2 linked regions of the Ovis aries genome follow. The protein of the gene in region 1 purifies or fractionates together with the protein of each later gene. This does not show direct contact. Links are inferred from orthologs where the notes say so. Each region holds a gene or a part of one and is shown on either strand. Other genes may lie near its edges.

Evidence for each region.
Region 2: the proteins of PSMB10 (region 1) and PSME1 purify together in Homo sapiens (affinity purification with western blotting; 3 studies listed by BioGRID and IntAct, with this or other methods). This does not show direct contact. The link is inferred for Ovis aries from reciprocal best matches to the Homo sapiens genes PSMB10 and PSME1.

Annotation. Positions count from the first base shown.
Region 1 is NC_056067.1:34,980,133-34,984,564, forward strand, and holds PSMB10 (proteasome subunit beta type-10), read right to left. Parts: upstream 2,815-4,432; 5' UTR 2,746-2,814; coding exon 2,690-2,745; intron 2,454-2,689; coding exon 2,366-2,453; intron 2,275-2,365; coding exon 2,177-2,274; intron 2,066-2,176; coding exon 1,925-2,065; intron 1,650-1,924; coding exon 1,534-1,649; intron 1,424-1,533; coding exon 1,365-1,423; intron 736-1,364; coding exon 584-735; intron 459-583; coding exon 347-458; 3' UTR 286-346; downstream 1-285. Other genes in the region: LCAT (phosphatidylcholine-sterol acyltransferase precursor), read right to left, coding at 4,328-4,432. UniProt on the Homo sapiens protein: The proteasome is a multicatalytic proteinase complex which is characterized by its ability to cleave peptides with Arg, Phe, Tyr, Leu, and Glu adjacent to the leaving group at neutral or slightly basic pH.
Region 2 is NC_056060.1:20,828,813-20,833,280, reverse strand, and holds PSME1 (proteasome activator complex subunit 1), read left to right. Parts: upstream 1-1,599; 5' UTR 1,600-1,715; coding exon 1,716-1,754; intron 1,755-2,296; coding exon 2,297-2,329; intron 2,330-2,475; coding exon 2,476-2,538; intron 2,539-2,648; coding exon 2,649-2,759; intron 2,760-2,847; coding exon 2,848-2,893; intron 2,894-3,010; coding exon 3,011-3,108; intron 3,109-3,357; coding exon 3,358-3,426; intron 3,427-3,511; coding exon 3,512-3,579; intron 3,580-3,668; coding exon 3,669-3,723; intron 3,724-3,796; coding exon 3,797-3,883; intron 3,884-4,054; coding exon 4,055-4,135; 3' UTR 4,136-4,273; downstream 4,274-4,468. Other genes in the region: EMC9 (ER membrane protein complex subunit 9), read right to left, coding at 4,328-4,468. UniProt on the Homo sapiens protein: Implicated in immunoproteasome assembly and required for efficient antigen processing. The PA28 activator complex enhances the generation of class I binding peptides by altering the cleavage pattern of the proteasome.

The sequences.
Region 1 (4,432 bases):
ACATAGAGCCCTTTGGGTTGTACAATGGTCTCCAGTGGACCAGAGGGCATGGGAGTGGTAGGGGGAGCCTCCATGGTATGCAGAGGGGGCTTTCCACCTTGAGCCTGCAATGGCTTGCCAGGGCTGGGGTTCTAGAGGGGTAGATGACTAAGGTGGTGAGTAAATGGTGCCCCTCAGGCCAGATTGCAGCCATGGGAAGGAATGGCCTTTGCAGGACACCTTAGCCACAGAGCCCTGCTGGCTGCTTGTTCCCCTCCACCCAAGAAAGACAGTCATCTGCCGAAGTAGGTGTTTGTGTTTTCTGGGTTTATTCCTCCTTGTTCCAAGCTCTAAGCCTCAGCCTACTTCACTCCACATCCATGGCCTGCACAGTTTCCTCCACCACCTCCAGGGTCAGCGGCACCACTGTCTGGGACAGGACAGGTGTGGTCCCAGGGGCAAAGCGGTACTGGCTGGACCTGGGAAGAAGCAGGGATGACCCCTCAAAAGGGGCCCATCAAGTGTCCCGTCCTCTATAGCCCTGTCTTCCCGCTACCACCAAATCCATCCTCCCCTGGGATTCCTCCACCCCCAGTGCTCCTACCTCTCTATAGGCTTTGTGGGAGAGCTCAGGGCTCGCAGCATCTTGGCGCCGGCCGCGGTGATCACACATGCATCCACATTGCCCCCAGAGCCCAGGTCACCCAGGATCCCTGCAGTGATGGCTTCCACCAGCAGCTCCTGCGCTGCCTCCAGCTGCAATGATGTGTGTCAGTGAGGCCTGATGGACCCTTCTAGATCACCCTTAGGCTGTAGCCTAGAGACAATTCATCTTGAAGCCAGGCCTCATTTGCTCACACCCAAACTTCCCACTCTCTCGCCCTACACCCCCATCTCCACCCCAAGCTCCTCTATCCTGGTTTCAGTGTCCCCCTGTACAGTGACCCCATGTTCCCACTGCCCCCATCTTCACAAGCTTCTGAGTCACACTTGTGGCTGTGCTTCCACTGGCCTGTTCACCCACCCCCAATTCCCCCCTCACTGCCTTTTCTTTCTGGGCCTTAGCTGCTTATAAAGTGACATACATATGCCTTCTGCTTCTATCCATCCCAAACAAAATCCAGACCCCAGACCCCACCTGCTGTTCCTCTCTCCTCAAGTTCAAATGGCACTTTGAGTTTTGACTTCTGAGGCAGTCCAAGCTTTGGCACTGTTAGAATAGCACCTCACCCTCACTCCACTGGCCCCTCAGTCTCCACTCAGTCACCTCCGAGAAGCCTTCCCCGACTAGGCCAGGGTTCCTCTGCGTTTCCCCAGCTCACGGGTGCACTTCCCATCAAAGCTCGCGTAATGTGGTGGGGGTAGGGGGGGCAGTTGTCACTCACCGTCATGTTCGGCTGGAACCGGTCCTCTAGCACTGCTATGGCCGCATCCTGGCCGGATCCTGCAAGCAAGAGGGCCATCTGAGATCAACTGCGGCCGCCCAGTCGTGGGATAAACGTTGAGGTCAAGGTAGCATAGCAAGGTTCTTGGGGAGCGGGCAGAAGCGCTCACCCAGGGCCGTGAAGGGCAGCCGGCTGTAGGAGCCATGGGGGTGCACGCTGTAGAGCTGCGGTCCTGTGAAGTCCACGCCGCCCACGATCAGCGACGCTCCCACATAGCCCTGGTACCTTTTAGCCGAGTGGGTACGGTCAGTGGAAAGCACCGGAGCCCAGGTCCCGCCCCTCCACAAACAGCCCCTGCGTCCGAACCCCGCCCCTTCGCGCGGTCTAGCTCCCCATAACTGACAGCGCTCCCCGCCGTCGCCCGCTTAGCTGCTCTTAGGCCCGCCTCTTCCGGGCTCTCGGACTTCGCAGCCCAGTCCTTTCTCCGGTCCTGCGTCCTCTCAGCCCCGCCCTCCCCGCAGCTGCCCCGCCTCGGGGTCAGCTTAGACCCGCCTCAGCACCGGAAGAGCGTCTGGCGCAGCATGCGGGTGACGGTGGCCACGCGGGCCTCGCGGCCCGTGGACAGCGCGTGTAGCTCCATGTTGGACGCCGCCATCCGCGTGGTCATCTCGGCGTCCGCGGCTACTCCAGCCCCACAGCAGCTGAGGGCGAAAGGAGGGGTCCGTGTGGGCGTTGCTAGGACGTGCTGGCACCCGGGATGGGAACGAGGGGGCGGTTCTTGGAGGGGGAGAGTTAGGCGGAGGAATGCTCACTAGATTTTGGGGGCGATGAAGTGGATCTTTTCGCAGATCTTGTCCGCGACGACCGAATCGTTAGTGGCCCGCGTATCCGCGCCCAAGATGACCCCGTCCTGGGGGTAGGGGGGAGGAGCCGTTGGCCTAGTCCCCACGTCCCATTTCCCGCCGCCCCTCTAGGCCGCACCATCCCAGCTCCCTGCTTACTTGGAACACAAGGCCTGCAATGGTGGTCCCGGTCTTGCGTGCGTGAGGGACCCGGAGCCCCGGTAGGGCGCGTTGCAAGGCTGCGTTTCTGGAAACGGAGAGGAGAGGCCCAGGTTTCAGTTCTTATGGGACCCTCATCACAGCCCCTACCTCTGTCCCGGTTTCCCTCACCTCCTGGGGTAAACTTGGGAACCGAAGTCGTTCAACACACGTACCCTCCCCTACTCTCGCCCCCAGAAATTTTAAAGATCCCGGGGTTCTCACTCCCGGAAGCCCTCGCTGAAGGGCATAGGCAGCTGGGAAACCAACCATTCCCGCCCTCACCTCTCACAGTTCTCGAAGGAGAAGCCGCTTTGGGGCTCTAGCACTGTCTTCTGCATCTCCAGGTAGGCAGGGGGTCAGAGGAGTGGGATCAGCAGGCAAGAAAGAAGGCGGAAGGCTTGTCCTCTGCCGGGCTGCACTATTGTTTCCCCCTTTCGCTTTCACCTTTCCTCAGAGCATGCTGGTCCCTTTCTGCATCTTCTCTTTCACTTTCACCTTCAGCTCTGGTCTTTCGCAGCTTAGGAAGAGGGGAGATGTCCCTTGCCTGGCACTCCAAGCTGCTCCTGGGTCCTCTGACTGAACAGAGGGACAAATCCCTCCTCTTTAGCCATTGTCCAGCCTGAGCCCCGAGCTCTGCCTACCCTGACCCCATCTCTAACCTCAAGTCTCAGTGCCCTAAGGCTATCACATTGACCAAGTCTCTGTTCTTATTATTATCAATCTTCAACGGCATCAGTCATGGCTACCTTTTGTCCTTCTCCCAACTCCTGCCTCTTGTTTGCTGCCTCTGCCTTCTTCCCAGAACCCAAACACTGAGTGAGGCTCAGTCCTCTCAGCCAAGGCGATGCTGATCTGTCTTCCATGTTTCAGATGCCATCCTTCCTCTCTCAGAAGGGGCATCATGGTTGTCCCTCAGGTGGCCTGTAGGCATGCTGGGCTCTGCCCATGGCCAAGCCTTATTTCACCTCCCAAAGGACCCTTTATCTAGCCAGTTCTTTCTCTGGATTACTGCTTGTCTCAGCTAGCATCCTTTCCCCGCTGGGCACAGCACTGGTTTCCCCACAATTCCTGCCCCTCACCCTCCACCCCAGACTATACTCCATGCTACAGAGAGGGGACTCTTTTCTAGGTTGGAAATCTGGTCACACTCTTTCCTTGGTTAAACCCTATATCAGTTGCACACAGCTCTTAGGCTCAAATGAGTCTTCATAGTCACCCTTCTCATTCATTCCATCTGATCTCTGCATTGACAAAACCTCCTCTGGGAAGCCTTTCCTGACCCACAAGACTCACCACCTTGTTGCTCTCTATACTTTTCTCTCAGATCACGTAGCTCCATTACCTAAAAATTAAATCTTCACTAGTGAAGTGACCTATTTAATGGCTGTCACATTCCTAGATTCTAAACTCTGTCACGCACCTAGCACTCAAAAGCCTCTGTCCAGAGGCGGGGTCTCGCCTGCCCTTTTGGGAGCTAGGAGGAACATTTCAGATCTTCCACATCCTGTACCCTTGGCTCCATGTATGCCCATTCCACTGCTATGTGTGCAGCTGCCTCCAGTCCCCAGTGCCCAGAGCAGAGGCAGGCACAGGCGGGCTGCTTAAACAGCTCAACCAGCAGTTTGTGCATGCTAAATCGCTTCAGTCGTGTGTCTTTTTGTGACCCTATGGACTGTAGCCCGCCAGGCTCCTCTGCCCCTGGTATTCTCCAGGCAAAAATACTGGAGCAGGTTGCCATGCCCTTCTCGTGGGAAGCTACACATCTCAAGGTGCCCAGTTCAGTCCCAGGCTTTAGCACAGCTCCTCCACAAAGCTCCAGGCCTGTGGCTGCAGATGAATGCATCCTGGTGTGAGGACCCTAGTGCCTTTCCTTCAACCCACAACACACATGTCAGGGCTTTTAACAGCAAAGGAAAGTCTTTATTCAGGGGGCATGGGCTTTGGGCTGGCAGTCGGGGGTACAACAGTGCTATTTCGGTAGGTACCCAGCAGGATGGCATTGATGTGCTCCAGTGTCTGATTGCT
Region 2 (4,468 bases), on another chromosome or scaffold:
TCACAACAACACCATGAGTTAGGAGTGTTCCCACTGTACATTTGTGAAAATGGAAGTGCAGAGCTAAGTAAGTTTTTCACAACTAGTAAATATTGGAGCTAGAATTATTAACCCAGGCAGTATGGATCTGTTGTTTGTGCTCTAAAACAGAGATCAGCAAGCAACAGTCCTGTGGCCACTGTTTATATGGCCTGAGAGCTAAGAAATGATTTTACATTTTTTAATGGTTGAAAAAAAAGAATATTTCATAACAGGTGAAAATTACATGAAACTGAAATGCCACTGTCCATATGGCGCCCCACTCCAGTGCTCTTGCCTGGAAAATCCCATGGATGGAGAAGCCTGGTAGGCTGCAGTCCATGGAGTCGCTAAGAGTCAGACACGACTGAATGACTTCACTTTCACTTCTCACTTTCATGCATTGGAGAAGGAAATGGCAACCCACTCCCGTGTTCTTGCCTGGAGAATCCCAGGGATGGGGGAGCCTGGTGGGCTGCCGTCTATGGGGTCGTACAGAGTCGGACACCACTGAAGCAACTTAGCAGCAGCAGTCCATAAATAAAATTTTAGGGTAACTAGCCACACTCATTTATTTAACTGTATAGCTGGTTTCCTGCTACAATGGCAGAGTTGAGTAGTTGCTGCAGGTACTACAAAGCCTAAAATATTTACTATATGGTCTTTGACAGAAAAAGTTTGCCAACTCCTGCTCTAAACCACACTATCCTCAAAAAAGAAACTAACTTCATAGAGATAGTGCTGTGAAGGTACTAAAACAGGCTGCTTTCTAATAGACTTGGAGGGAGTTATAAGCAGAGTTCTTTCTGAAGAAGTGATATCTAAGCTGAGAACAGAATGACATCCTGAGGCAGGGTAGGTTGTGTCAGGCAAAGGGATTAGCAAGAGCAAAGGCCTTGAGGCAGGAATGAACAACGCTGGCAGGTCTGAGAAACAACTGGAAAGTCCAGGTATTTATAACTGAAAAGAGGGAGAAAACAGTGGAAAGCAAAGTTGAAGGGGAACAGGTGCCAGATAGGCCTTTTGGACCAGGAAAGTCCTTTGGATTCTAAGGTCAACAGGAAGTTGAGAACGTTTTAAGCAAGAGCAAGGTGGAATCCTGCTGCTGCGTGGTGAGTGGGTTACAGAGGAATGGAGTCCACAAGGGTCTTAAGAGAGCTGACCAGGTCCTGTGATGGGATGATGCCAGAGTCTGAACGTCACTGCGTGGGCCAGACGATGCCCGTGGAGCTAGGGGTCCACGCTGGCAGGGCAAAGGAAGGGAAGCCAAGTCTTGCTTCACCACCCAGAAGAGAGGCAGATAAGGCTAATCACTGTCCCAGGCGGCGCTGGGAAGAGAGCCCGAGGTCTGGGGCAGGGGGCGGGAGGGGCGGGGAATCCTGAGGCGGGCCCCGGCCTCGTGGCCGGGGAGGCGGGGCGTCGATGGGAGGGTGGGGCAGGTGGGCGGGGAATCGAAAGACCGACAGTGATGGGGATGCGGGGTGGCGGAAAGGCGCCTCTCCGACTCTAGGGGGAGCCCCGGCTGGGCTACCTCCCGGCACTCAGCTCCTCGCCTCTCTCTGGTCTGTCCCCGCCTCCTCTAGTACCTCCACTCCCACTACCCAGGAAGGCCGTGCGGGGAGCGAGCGCTGCTTTCACTTTCCCTTCCCCGTGCCCACTCCTCGCTCCGCGTGCTTCGCCAGGCCCCTACCCCGGCCATGGCCACGCTCAGGGTCCTGCCCGAAGCCCAAGCCAAGGTGAGCGCTGCGGGTTCTAGGAAGGGCCCATCAGGGAGGGGTGCCTCCGAGACACTGAAGGAGTCCGTGACCCGCCCCTCAGCCCCTCGAGTAGGGGTCAGTCATCCGAACACTCATGGGCCCCGTGCCCAGAGCACCTGAGCCCGGAGAGCCCCGCCAGGTCTGCCTGCGGGAGGAGAGGCGAGGCGGCCGAGGTTCAGCGGGGTGAGGTGAAGCGGAGCCCTGGCGTGAAGGGGAAATCTGCTGGCCCGGCGCCCGAGCCCACACACAGACGGGGTTCGGGCTCTGCCCTGCCACCATGGGAGGCCCCGCGTCCATTCCACAGGGCACTCCGACCCTGCCCCAGTCGCAGCAGCTCTCTTACATCCCTCCTCCCACTGCCCACCGAGGGATCTGTTCCCTCTTGAACAGTTCGCCCTTCACTTCCAGGAATGTTATTCCCCAAATCCCACCGCACCCAAGTCAGACCCCATGCAACCCTAAGGGTTCTCGAATAAACTGGCCATAAAGCCAAATTCTGAAGGGCTGCTTGTGTCCCACAGGTGGATGTGTTCCGTGAAGACCTATGTACTAAGGTAAGACCTGCACGGTCATCACCCCACCCCTCCCCAAGCCCACTGCTCAGCCCTCCTTTGCTAGGCAGCGGCAGCCCTTCCTTCACTGCTTAGGAAGGGAATTTGATTCTGACCCCCATCCTCCCTTACCGTTACCCTACACACAGACAGAGAACCTGCTCGGGAGCTATTTTCCCAGGAAGATTTCTGAGTTGGATGCATTTTTAAAGGTACTGGGGCTGGGCAGGGAGTAGAGGCCAAAGGGAGAGCTTCAGGGGCTGTGAGAGTGAGGAGGTGAGAGCTCGCCCCTGCCTCCAGCCCTTCTCCCACCCTGCACCAGGAGCCAGCTCTCAATGAAGCCAACCTGAGCAATCTGAAGGCCCCATTGGACATCCCAGTGCCTGATCCAGTCAAGGAGAAAGAGAAGGAGGAGCGGAGGAAACAGCAGGAGGCAAGATGGGAATTCCTGGGAGGAGGGACCCAACCCGGGGAAAAATCAGCCTCAGGCCTGACTCCCAAGAGCCTCCCTTTCCCTGCAGAAGGAAGACAAGGATGAAAAGAAGAAAGGGGAAGATGAAGACAAAGGTATCACTATGGTGGAAGGGACTTGTGTCTCACTTCCCAGGAGCTCCTCCCTAAGGATGCCTTTTCCTTACCTGGCACAGTCCCAGTCATGTGACTGACCCAGTGCCCACCTCCTAGGTCCTCCATGTGGCCCAGTGAGCTGCAATGAGAAGATTGTGGTCCTCCTGCAGCGTGTAAAGCCTGAGATCAAGGATGTCATTGAGAAGCTCAACCTGGTGAGCCCCCCACTTCCGTCCACACACTTCAGGTCAAACCCTTTGTCTTCCTTTCTCCCTACCAGTTGGGCATGGCACCTGCCAGGTCTTAGCAGGAGAGGGCACAGCAAGTAAAGCCAGAATTCCAGGCCATGGCATTCAGGACAGACCTGACACACTCCCATTCACTGTGAGCAAGGAAACAAAGGACAGGAAGCTGGGAATTGGGTTTGAGACTGATGGGGCTTCTTTGCCATTCCCTCCTCCCAGGTCACCACCTGGCTACAGCTACAAATACCTCGGATTGAGGATGGGAATAATTTTGGAGTGGCTGTCCAGGTGAGAGCACTGCCCCACTCCTCTGCCAACTTTCTCTCTCCAGTCCTTGCTGCTTTCCACTTTCCCTTCTGCTTTCTTTCCCCAGGAGAAGGTGTTTGAGCTGATGACTGCCCTTCACACCAAGCTAGAAGGCTTCCACACTCAAATTTCCAAGTGAGTCATTGCCCATTGCTCTGCCTCTGGCAGAGACTGAGGCCTCTGCTCCCTCCTCCTCCTGCTCCATACCCTTCTACTTCCCACAGGTATTTCTCTGAGCGCGGTGATGCTGTAACTAAAGCAGCCAAGCAGCCCCATGTGGTAGGTGAGGTCTCAGTCTGGGTGCAAGGGAGGAGGGACACTTGAAGTCAGGCCTGATCCAAGTTTCCCGCAGGGTGATTATCGGCAACTGGTGCACGAGCTGGATGAGGCAGAGTACCGGGATATCCGGCTGATGGTCATGGAGATCCGCAATGCTTATGTGAGGAGGCGAGAGTTGGGGGCGGGCTGAGGCAGCTTTCCCAAGCCACCCACTCCCTGACCCTGCAGGCTGGGGTGAAGGGTTACAAAGTGCAACCTCTCCACAAGGCTAGAAATGGGGTACAGAGCCACTGGGAGCTGGTGGCTGACTCTCTCCTCCCTGGCCCCATAGGCTGTGTTATATGACATCATCCTGAAGAACTTCGAGAAGCTCAAGAAGCCCAGGGGAGAAACAAAGGGAATGATCTATTGAGACCCTCTTCTCATTCTGTGATGGCTCCAGCAGAGACCTTCTGACTTTTACAGGGGACTCCAGACTTTCCCCACCTTCTGCCTGTTGGTTTCTCCCTCACCTTTGCCTCCCAGGCACAATAAACATAGTCATACCATTGCCCAACAGCCCAAGTCTCTTTATTGGATCCTGAGCCTCCCCTCTGGCCCTGGCTCAGGTATTTCCATTTGTGGGACCAACCCACTGGGTGATCTGGGCGTTGAGCTGCTGGTTGGTCCAATCCTCTCGGATGTCATCAAGGTGGCAGTCAAAGTCCACAAGGTGCTGGTGGGCCCGGCCCTCTAGTAATGCTCC